2 linked regions of the Arabidopsis thaliana genome follow. The protein of the gene in region 1 interacts with the protein of each later gene in a pairwise test. Each region holds a gene or a part of one and is shown on either strand. Other genes may lie near its edges.

Region 1 (5,649 bases):
TGTATGATAATTTCGTGTTGTCCTATTGGACCTGGGGTTGATAAACCATCGAGTCCAACAAGAACACAACATATGTACATATGTTTGGTGTATGCAAAATGTTGTCTTTTCAAATTTTCAGAAAAGATTGTTAAAAAATATAAATGCGTCTGCCGGGAGTCGAACCCGGGTCTATTGCTTGGAAGGCAATTATCCTAACCGTTGGACTACAGACGCTTTTGCATATCGAGCAAATAAACTATATATACATATAAACTTTGGATGTTGAGGTTAAAGTGAGAAAGATTTTAAAATACATATATATAGATATAATCTATATATATATTTTTGCATCCATTTTGTGAAATAAATCCTGGAGTTGAAACTTATTTACAATGGCTGTCACTGGCTTTTAATTATTAGTTTTTTCAGCAATAAATTGATTAACAAACGAAAAACATTCCAAATATATTTCAATCCCATATATCACGCAGATTTTTCCAAAATTTGAACTAGATTTCAGCAACTATTTAAAACAAAAAATGTTTGACAACCCAAAAGACAATTGCAATCCCTTAAAATGAGCAAACGCAACTAAATACATTTCTTATCAATTCACTAAATCTTATTTCTCCAAAATTTGAACTAGATTTCGACAACTATTTAAAACAAAATTTTGTTTGACAAACTAAAACACAATCGCAATCCATAAAATATTTATTTTAATTATAAATTTCAACTAGCGGGGTACCGCGGTTTTTTTTTACAGGACGGGTTTGGCAGAACGGGTTTGGAAGGACGTTACTTAATAACAATTGTAAACTATAAAATAAAAATATTTTATAGATAGAGATAATTTGCAAAATTTTATATATACTAGTTTAAATAAAAAAAATTATCTCCGCGGTGTACCGCGGGTTAAAATCTAGTCTATATATACATTTTTGCAACTATTTTGTGAAATAAATCTTGTAGTTGAGAATTATTTACAATGATTGCCACTGGATTTTAATATTTGTTTTTGATAATTAGAAAAAAAATCTTCGAATTAAATATTTGACATTTAATAAATTTTTTTAAAATCTCTTTACATTAACTACACGATTGGTTACTAAAATAAAACTTTCAAAATATTTAATATCATTTAATTACTACAAAATTATCATTATTGATATTGTTTTTCTTCATGACTATTACAATTCAATTATAATCATCAAACCGCAGAGATATTTGATAACATTTAATTACTACAAAATTACAAAATATTTAGACAATGATTCATAAACATATGATAAAGAAGATCAACATTAATAAAATAAATGAGCTTTTTTTACGGGATGGGTTGGCGGGACGAGTTTGGCAGGACGAGTTTGGCAGGACGAGTTTGGCAGGACGAGTTTGGCAGGACGTTACTTAATAACAATTCTAAACTATAAAATAAAAATATTTTATAGATAGTTACATAGATTGTTACAAATTACAAACTTTTATATATACTAATTTTAAAATATAAATTGTCCCTACGGTATATCGCGGGTGAAAATCTAGTATTATTATTATTAACCGAAAGAAATTTCTTTCAATTTTAAAAATTCTGTCAGTTATAATGAAAATGTAAAACTGTAATAAGGATTTAATATACATATTAACATGTTATATTGATATGTTATTACTATTATCCAATTTGCTTTTTCTATTACTGTTTGTTGGATGTATTGAAAATTTAAGATTGTCTCCAAAATCGATTATTTTGAAATTATATATAAAAAATAAGATTTAAGAGATTTGTTTCCAAAATATTTTGAATTCTCCATTTATTTTCATATTCTATCATATATTTTTTAAAGAAAATAATCAAGATATACACATTTTATAACTTCATAAATCGTTTGACACAGAAGAGAATCGATAAACTATAAATCTGCAATGTTTAATATTATTACGAAATGCTTTTAGGTAAAAGATGATATGATAGCAAGTGTGTTTTTTGGACTTATAAAAGTGAGTAGCACCTAGTGGGGGGAGAGAGAGAGAAAGAGAAACAAAGAGAGCGATAAAGAGATGGGTGGAGAAGAGAGATCAGGAGATGGAGAAAAAAGAGGGGAAGAAGTAGTTGATGCTGGTTCTCTCTTCGTCCTTAAATCCAAAGGTACGTTTTATTAATTATGAAATCTATGAAACTTAACGTATACTATTATAACCCATTTGAAGAAGATATGATGATGATGATGATGGAAACTAGGGACATGGTGGCACTGCGGATTCCACTTGACGACGTCTATAGTGGCGCCTGCGCTACTGAGTCTACCGTACGCCTTCAAGTTCTTAGGATGGGCTGCCGGGATATCTTGTCTGGTCGGAGGAGCAGCCGTTACTTTCTACTCGTACACTCTTCTTTCTCTTACTCTCGAACACCACGCTTCTCTCGGCAACCGTTACCTCCGCTTCCGTGACATGGCTCATCACATCCTCAGTAATTCTTTTTCTTTTTACATTTGCTCTTTCCTATAATCAAAGCTGCGACAAATTTACCTTAAGAGAATTTCATTCAAGATTGAGATGTATAGTTGTACGTAGACATACGTGTCTATATGAACTTCTATACGTAATAATTGACACACGGCCGGTACCACTCCAATAATTTCATCCACGCAATAAAGGAAGGTACATGTCCTACGTAATAATTTGTTTGAACAAAAAAAAAAGTTAATTTTTGTGTGAAAACGCGAGATGGAATACTTATAATCACGTTTGCTATTACGAACAACGGAATTTTATAAGAAACCAAGTAAACATTGGTATGAGCTCAACTTTTGTTCGTGGTTGGTTAATATCACAATATATGTATTGTGTAAACCTATGATTTTTAAAAAAATACTTTTCTATACTGTTTGGTCTTGTTTCGAATTATAAGAAGAAAAAAAACTAATCATATGGAATTCATATTATAGTGAATTTTTTGATATGGCTTGCTTCGGTTCAATTTTGTTGGGATCCGGATCGAAGTGTTGACCATTCCACATTTCCACTCATACCACTGTTAAGTTTCAACTTTTTCATGCGTTAGATAGCTGTCTCTTTCCGTGTCTTGTTTCATTTTTGATGCAGAAATTTGTCTTTCAAAACTAATTTCAATTTTTAAAAATATGTGCGTGTCAGAAGAGTATTCATAAAACGTTGGTGCCGACCAAAATTTAATCTTATATAAGTAAAGTTGGATAGGTTCGATCTGCTTTCAAAAGTAGAATATTCTAAATTTCAGATCCTACATAGGATTCGATCCAAATTAGGATAGTTACGCTTTGACTGTCGACTACCAAGGAAATCCACATGTCAACAAAACTTTTAAGACAAAATTTAACGTATTTATCTATGCAAAAACTACAAAATGATGAGAAAAAATTGATTGAAATTTTTTATCTTACTGGATAATTCTGTTTTAGTAGCTAATATGAAACTAAATCCATTATGCATCGAATCATCGATTTGGATTTTAGTTTTCATTAGAGTACACCGCTAATCTGAAGGATTTATAGGAATTCGATTTAGCCCACTTTTTCGGGACTGTATACAACTTTAATTAGGATAAGGTAAAGTATAATACAGGTTCCGAATGTTTGATTAGTTAAGATCAGTTTGGTTTTCCTCTTAACAATTATTGGGGTGTGTTTGATAAGGTCCGAAATGGGGAAGGTACTACGTTGGACCAATACAAATGGCGGTGTGCTATGGTGTGGTTATTGCCAATGCGCTCTTGGGAGGGCAATGCCTAAAGGCAATGTACTTGGTAGTGCAGCCAAATGGGGAAATGAAACTCTTTGAGTTTGTGATTATTTTTGGATGCTTACTTTTGGTTTTGGCACAATTCCCATCCTTTCACTCTCTACGATACATCAACTCACTGTCTCTCCTCCTCTGCCTCCTCTACAGTGCTTCTGCCGCTGCTGCATCCATCTACATTGGTACTCTTCTTTACTAAACCACTTTACTCTTAATTCTTAAACCTTTTATATTGTTACATTTAAAAGGTGAGTTTTCTGTTAAATATCAGGAAAAGAACCAAATGCACCAGAGAAGGACTATACTATAGTTGGTGATCCAGAAACTAGAGTGTTTGGAATCTTTAATGCTATGGCTATTATTGCTACTACATACGGCAATGGCATTATACCTGAAATTCAGGTTTCATTTTGTTTCCATTCTTTGTTTAGAACACCACTTTAATATTTATTCATCAAAAACAAAAGGGCAGTCACATGATCGACTCAGTTATATATATAGAGTATTTGATATATGAATACTATCTTCTTGCAACGCAGGCAACAATATCGGCACCAGTGAAAGGAAAAATGATGAAAGGGTTGTGTATGTGTTACCTTGTAGTAATAATGACATTTTTCACAGTAGCCATCACAGGATATTGGGCATTCGGTAAAAAAGCCAATGGACTTATCTTCACCAATTTCTTAAATGCCGAGACAAACCATTACTTTGTCCCTACTTGGTTTATTTTTCTCGTCAATCTCTTCACTGTCCTTCAACTTTCGGCCGTTGCTGTGGTAAATACAATTTTTTTTTAACGTTTTTCTTTCACATATATACATTGTTATTATTTTATTTTATTTTCGTCACATATATACATTGTTACTAATTTTGAGTTATGCAGGTATACCTACAACCTATAAACGATATTTTGGAAAGTGTGATCAGCGATCCAACAAAGAAAGAATTCTCTATCCGCAATGTCATCCCTCGACTAGTTGTGCGTTCCCTCTTCGTCGTGATGGCTACAATCGTTGCGGCAATGCTTCCATTTTTTGGAGATGTAAACTCCTTGTTAGGCGCTTTCGGTTTTATACCTCTAGACTTCGTTCTTCCTGTAGTTTTCTTCAACTTTACTTTCAAGCCGTCTAAAAAAAGTTTCATTTTTTGGATCAACACTGTGATCGCCGTGGTTTTTTCGTGTTTAGGGGTGATTGCTATGGTAGCGGCGGTTAGACAGATTATAATAGATGCCAATACGTATAAGTTGTTTGCGGATGTATAAAAGAACATGCAAAGCAAAGTGAGATTGTTATTTCTATATTTAAGAATAAGCCTTTTTTTTTCTTAGAAAAATGTTTATGATTATAAATTTGGAAAATAATATTCAAATTTTGATAACAATATTTTTACATAATTTAAATTAATTAATTTTGAATGAAATAAATACAGATGAAATAAATATCTAGAAAATTGATAAATCACAGTACAGGCCTGGAATATGAGCATTTGAAACCCAACGCAAAACAATTCCTAGAAACGGAAGCCCAAAAGTTGGGGGCTATAATTAAACCGGATTTAAAAAATCGGTTTGATTGGTTACCCACACAAAAATCTGGTTCAGGATTTTAGACTCGTTTTCAATTTCAAGCGTGTTTGGTTCGCCGGCAGAGAGACATAACCAAACAAATAGGGTTTAAGCTCTACTAAAATGGCGACGACGTTGAATCGAATCCTGAAGCATAGATCAGTCTCTGCTCTCAACAAGCATCATCAAGGACTCTTCTCCCTCACTCGATACGAGAATCATGACTCTCTCCCTTCTCAAATGCCAGCTCTTCGATCAACCACCCGTTCTTTCCTCGATTTTTATAAGGTAGGAAATTCTGAGAAATTATCAATTTCGCT
Region 2 (3,825 bases), on another chromosome or scaffold:
ACCTGTATTCCTCTGTGTGTGATCGCCTTTTTATTCAAGGTATACACACTTCGGAAATATTTTATCAAGATTCTTTGCAGTTCTTTCCTCTACATTTTGGATGACCTTGAATGGACTTGTGACCAAAAACAGAGGATGTGTTTTGTTTATTCTTAGTCATGGTTTCTCCATTACATCTAGAATTCCCATAAGTGCTTGTTTCATCTTGGGTTACAGGTGCTGGGAATTAGATGGTCATCAATCTTTTATGTTGAGAGTGTAGCAAGAGTGAAAAAGCTCTCATTAAGTGGATTGTTGCTTTACAAGTTGAGAATAGCTGATCAATTCTTTGTTCAATGGCCACAACTGCATAAGAAGTATCCTCGGGCTCACTATGTTGGGTGCCTGATGTAAGCTGATTGGAACTCTACTTACACCTAGATATATTACAAAAACTTAGAAAGCTACATAGTGTACACCTTCTCTTTATATGCAGGATTGAGTTTTAAACAATGAATTTTTGTAATCAGCTGTTTTGACTTTGTTAATGACTTAATGCTATTTCAGTGAGCTTATAATGTGATTTTGGTCATCTTATTCCAAACTAAACCAGAATCGTGCACAACATATATTTAAATAAAATATACTTCATGTTACAATGATGCACACATTTTCAGGCTGTGACTTCACTTGAGTCGCATCACAAATCTATTATGTTTATTTTTCATTGTAGGCTGCCTTCATACCAATAAAGAAAAGTAAGTTTACTTGATCAGCTCGCTTTAGTCTGTAAACTGTGTGTGCCACAATCTTTGAAGTAACAGCTTATTTTGATTGCTCACTTGACCCTTCTGCTTCTGGTCGGTCAGGGGATTCTGTTGTTGGTATTTCATTACTTTTCTTCAAGTTTGTTTCATCAAGATATTGTTGGTAGACATAGGATACGAAACCCCAAATAGCTAGAATCATAGAAATCACCTTTAAGCCGTTCATTTTGTCATGGAAAATGATGACAGCCAGGATAGGAACCACGGGGAGTCCCAAAGCGCTTATTGCATTTGAGAATAGGGAGGAAAGCTCGAAGATCAGTCCTGTGCAACCGATGGAGAATACCTGCCAGGTAACAGCTGTCCACACTAGGTTCATGACATAGGATACCTTCCCAAGTTTGTAGTTTTCCATTTCACTGCTCAAAGTTTTCCACTCGCTACTAGCAAAAAGCCCCACCACGCTAACACAACTGGCCACTAGACTCATGTAGATTATCATATTTATAACTTCTGAGAAAGTTTGCTTCTTTAAAACTTTACGAAAGGCTAGCTGTTGTAGGGATAAGAGTAGACCAAACCCAGCAGATGCACCAACGGTGCATACGAAACCTTTGACATACTCTCCTTTTGTAACTTTTTTGGAATCTGATTCCTCGTTATTAAATGCAAGGAGGGTGGAAGATATAGTGAGGAGGAAAAGAGAATTCAAAATGATAGGAGTAAGTTTTTGTGAGTTGAGTAAATAAGAGAAGAAAGCGGTGAAGGCTAACTGTGATGCACAGATCAGGGAAAGGGTAGAAACAGGTAGGTAAAGCAGTCCAATGGAATATAGGTAGCAAGCTGCTCCTACAAGAAGTCCAAGCACTATGTAAACTAATGCACGGTTCCTAAGTGAGGTTAATTTGCCATCTCTCTGAGTTGTTGTATGTGTTTTGACTGACAAGAGATGATATGGAAGTAGAATAGGAAAGCCTACAAGCTGAACTACCGTTGCTAGCCATTTGCTGTTTCCTCCATTTTCATAGTATAGTCTGCCCAGAATTGTAGCAACTGATTGGCCTGAAATGACAAAGAATGTATAGATAGCAACCCGGAGCCACCGTTTGTATGTATTAGAGTGAGATAGTTTTGTTTGGCTGCCACTGACCGAACTTCTTTCGTCTTGATCTGTTGGAATTGGTTCTTTTCCCTGCTGAACTGGTGAGTGATGGAAAATAACGCAAGAAATTAGATTATGACTTATTTGTTGTCACACATGAAAAATATTGATATATTGAATAATAAGATACCATAACCATATTTTTCGTCTTTTATTTGAAGATAAAAGACCAGTAGGTTCTCGAGGAACTGGTTTATGCTTACTCACCAATGACTTGTACTTCTTGATCCCCCTTCATAGTAGATGTGGAATCCCCCTCCTTCGAGATGGACAAGGAGGTACTAACAATGTTCTGAATAGATTCTAAGTATTAGGTATCTTATTATCAAATTGCTTGGTTACTAGTGCTACCAAGTGATTGCTTCTGTGATATGGGTGAGACACGCTGTAGCTATATATTTAGAGATTAGGAATCGGTCATCGTCTATGTTTTGATTGTACTTGTCCCCACATTCAGTAAATGCCAACTGTATATCTTCTCTTGCTGTGAATTTAATTTCTTTTGTCACTATTGTTGATCTAGAGATGAGTCGAGTCAAATCAAGAAGGAAATGATGTGTAGCCATTAGTCACTCAGTATTTTATACCTGTGTGACACATCAGCCATATGCATAGACACAAACTTAACACGCATGCACACAAGTTGTAAGATTGTATGACCGTCAGGATGTCTATTTTGAAAGTTATTCGTCTTCTTTAATTTCTTTGGCTTGTTCCGTCTGACTATCTTTCTCTTATGAGATCAGGCATGTGGATTAGAAACACATTTATGGAGATGATGTCTCGCTTCTCTTTTCAAAAGAAGACATTTGCACCACAATATTGGATGGCAGAGGAAGTCACTTTATTAACTGCTAAGATGGAGACTGCCAAATGGTATTATTTCTGGTCATTTACTTTTTGTACAAAGCTCTGTTTCACCAAGGATGTTTGGACCTGTCTGATTAATATTTCTTCTTTCTTCATTAGAAATGATTTTCTGTGTGTCCTTGTTTCACAATGTTTCAGGTAAAACTAGAAAGTGGAATAGTGCATTGAAATCTTTTTAAGTTATGGCTAAGGGTTAATTTTTATCAGGTGTCACACTCACAAAATTGACATGGTTTTTTATTAAATAAATATCTACTTTTATCAATCTGCCTACAGGTTCTTGTTACATACAGGGTTGAGTTACATTTAATCTTTAGCTGCTATGAACCCAAGTTTAAACGATGAACTTTTGTAATCAGCTGTTCTAAACTTAAGATTGTTGGTTCACTGAGATTACAATGTAATTTGGGTAATCGTAATTGAAACTAAACCAAAGTCATTCACTACTTATTTAAATGAAATCTACTTCCTGTTACAATGATGCAAAAAATTTCAAGCTGAGACTTTACATTAGTTGCATCAAAAATGTATTGTGTATTCTTCAATGTAGGATGCCTCCAGGCCGATAAGTAAAGTAAGTTTACTTAACTAGATTGATTGAGTCTGTAAACTGCGGGACAGCATCTTTCAAAATATCAGCTTATTTTGATTGCCAAGTTGACTCTTCTGCTTCTGGTGGGTCAGGGGATTCTGTTGTTGTGATTTCATGATTTTTCTTCAAGTTTTTGTCATCAAGATATTGTTGGTAGACATAGGAAGTGAAACCCCAAATAGCTAGGATCATAGAAATCACCTTTAACCCATTCATTTTGTCATGGAAAATGATTACAGCCAAGATAGGAACCACTGGGAGTCCCAAAACGCTTATTGCATTTGAGAATAGAGAGGAGAGCTCGAAGATCAGTCCTGTGCCACCGATGGAGAATACCTGCCAGGTAACAGCTGTCCACACTAGGTTCATAATGTAGGATACCTTCCCATGTTTGTAGTTATCCATTTCACTGCTCAAAGTTTTCCACTCACTGCTAGCAAAAAGCCCCACCACGC

What was found. Proteins that work in one complex are often made in the same cells at the same time.
Region 2: the proteins of AT1G08230 (region 1) and AT4G18220 interact in a protein complementation assay, tested with the Arabidopsis thaliana proteins (one large-scale study listed by BioGRID).

Annotation. Positions count from the first base shown.
Region 1 is NC_003070.9:2,583,092-2,588,740, reverse strand, and holds AT1G08230 (Transmembrane amino acid transporter family protein), read left to right. Parts: upstream 1-1,771; 5' UTR 1,772-2,040; coding exon 2,041-2,128; exon of another isoform or gene 2,129-2,221; coding exon 2,222-2,452; exon of another isoform or gene 2,453-3,656; coding exon 3,657-3,941; intron 3,942-4,030; coding exon 4,031-4,161; intron 4,162-4,298; coding exon 4,299-4,538; intron 4,539-4,645; coding exon 4,646-5,026; 3' UTR 5,027-5,097; downstream 5,098-5,649. Other genes in the region: AT1G08220 (ATPase complex subunit), read left to right, coding at 5,453-5,617. UniProt on the Arabidopsis thaliana protein: High affinity gamma-aminobutyric acid (GABA) transporter probably involved in GABA uptake into cells.
Region 2 is NC_003075.7:10,077,089-10,080,913, reverse strand, and holds AT4G18220 (Drug/metabolite transporter superfamily protein), read right to left. Parts: upstream 2,277-3,825; 5' UTR 2,187-2,276; coding exon of another isoform or gene 2,147-2,186; coding exon 2,116-2,146; coding exon of another isoform or gene 2,070-2,115; intron 1,947-2,069; coding exon 805-1,946; 3' UTR 552-804; downstream 1-551. Other genes in the region: AT4G18230 (UDP-N-acetylglucosamine transferase subunit ALG14-like protein), read left to right, coding at 1-39, 217-393; PUP10 (purine permease 10), read right to left, coding at 3,419-3,825.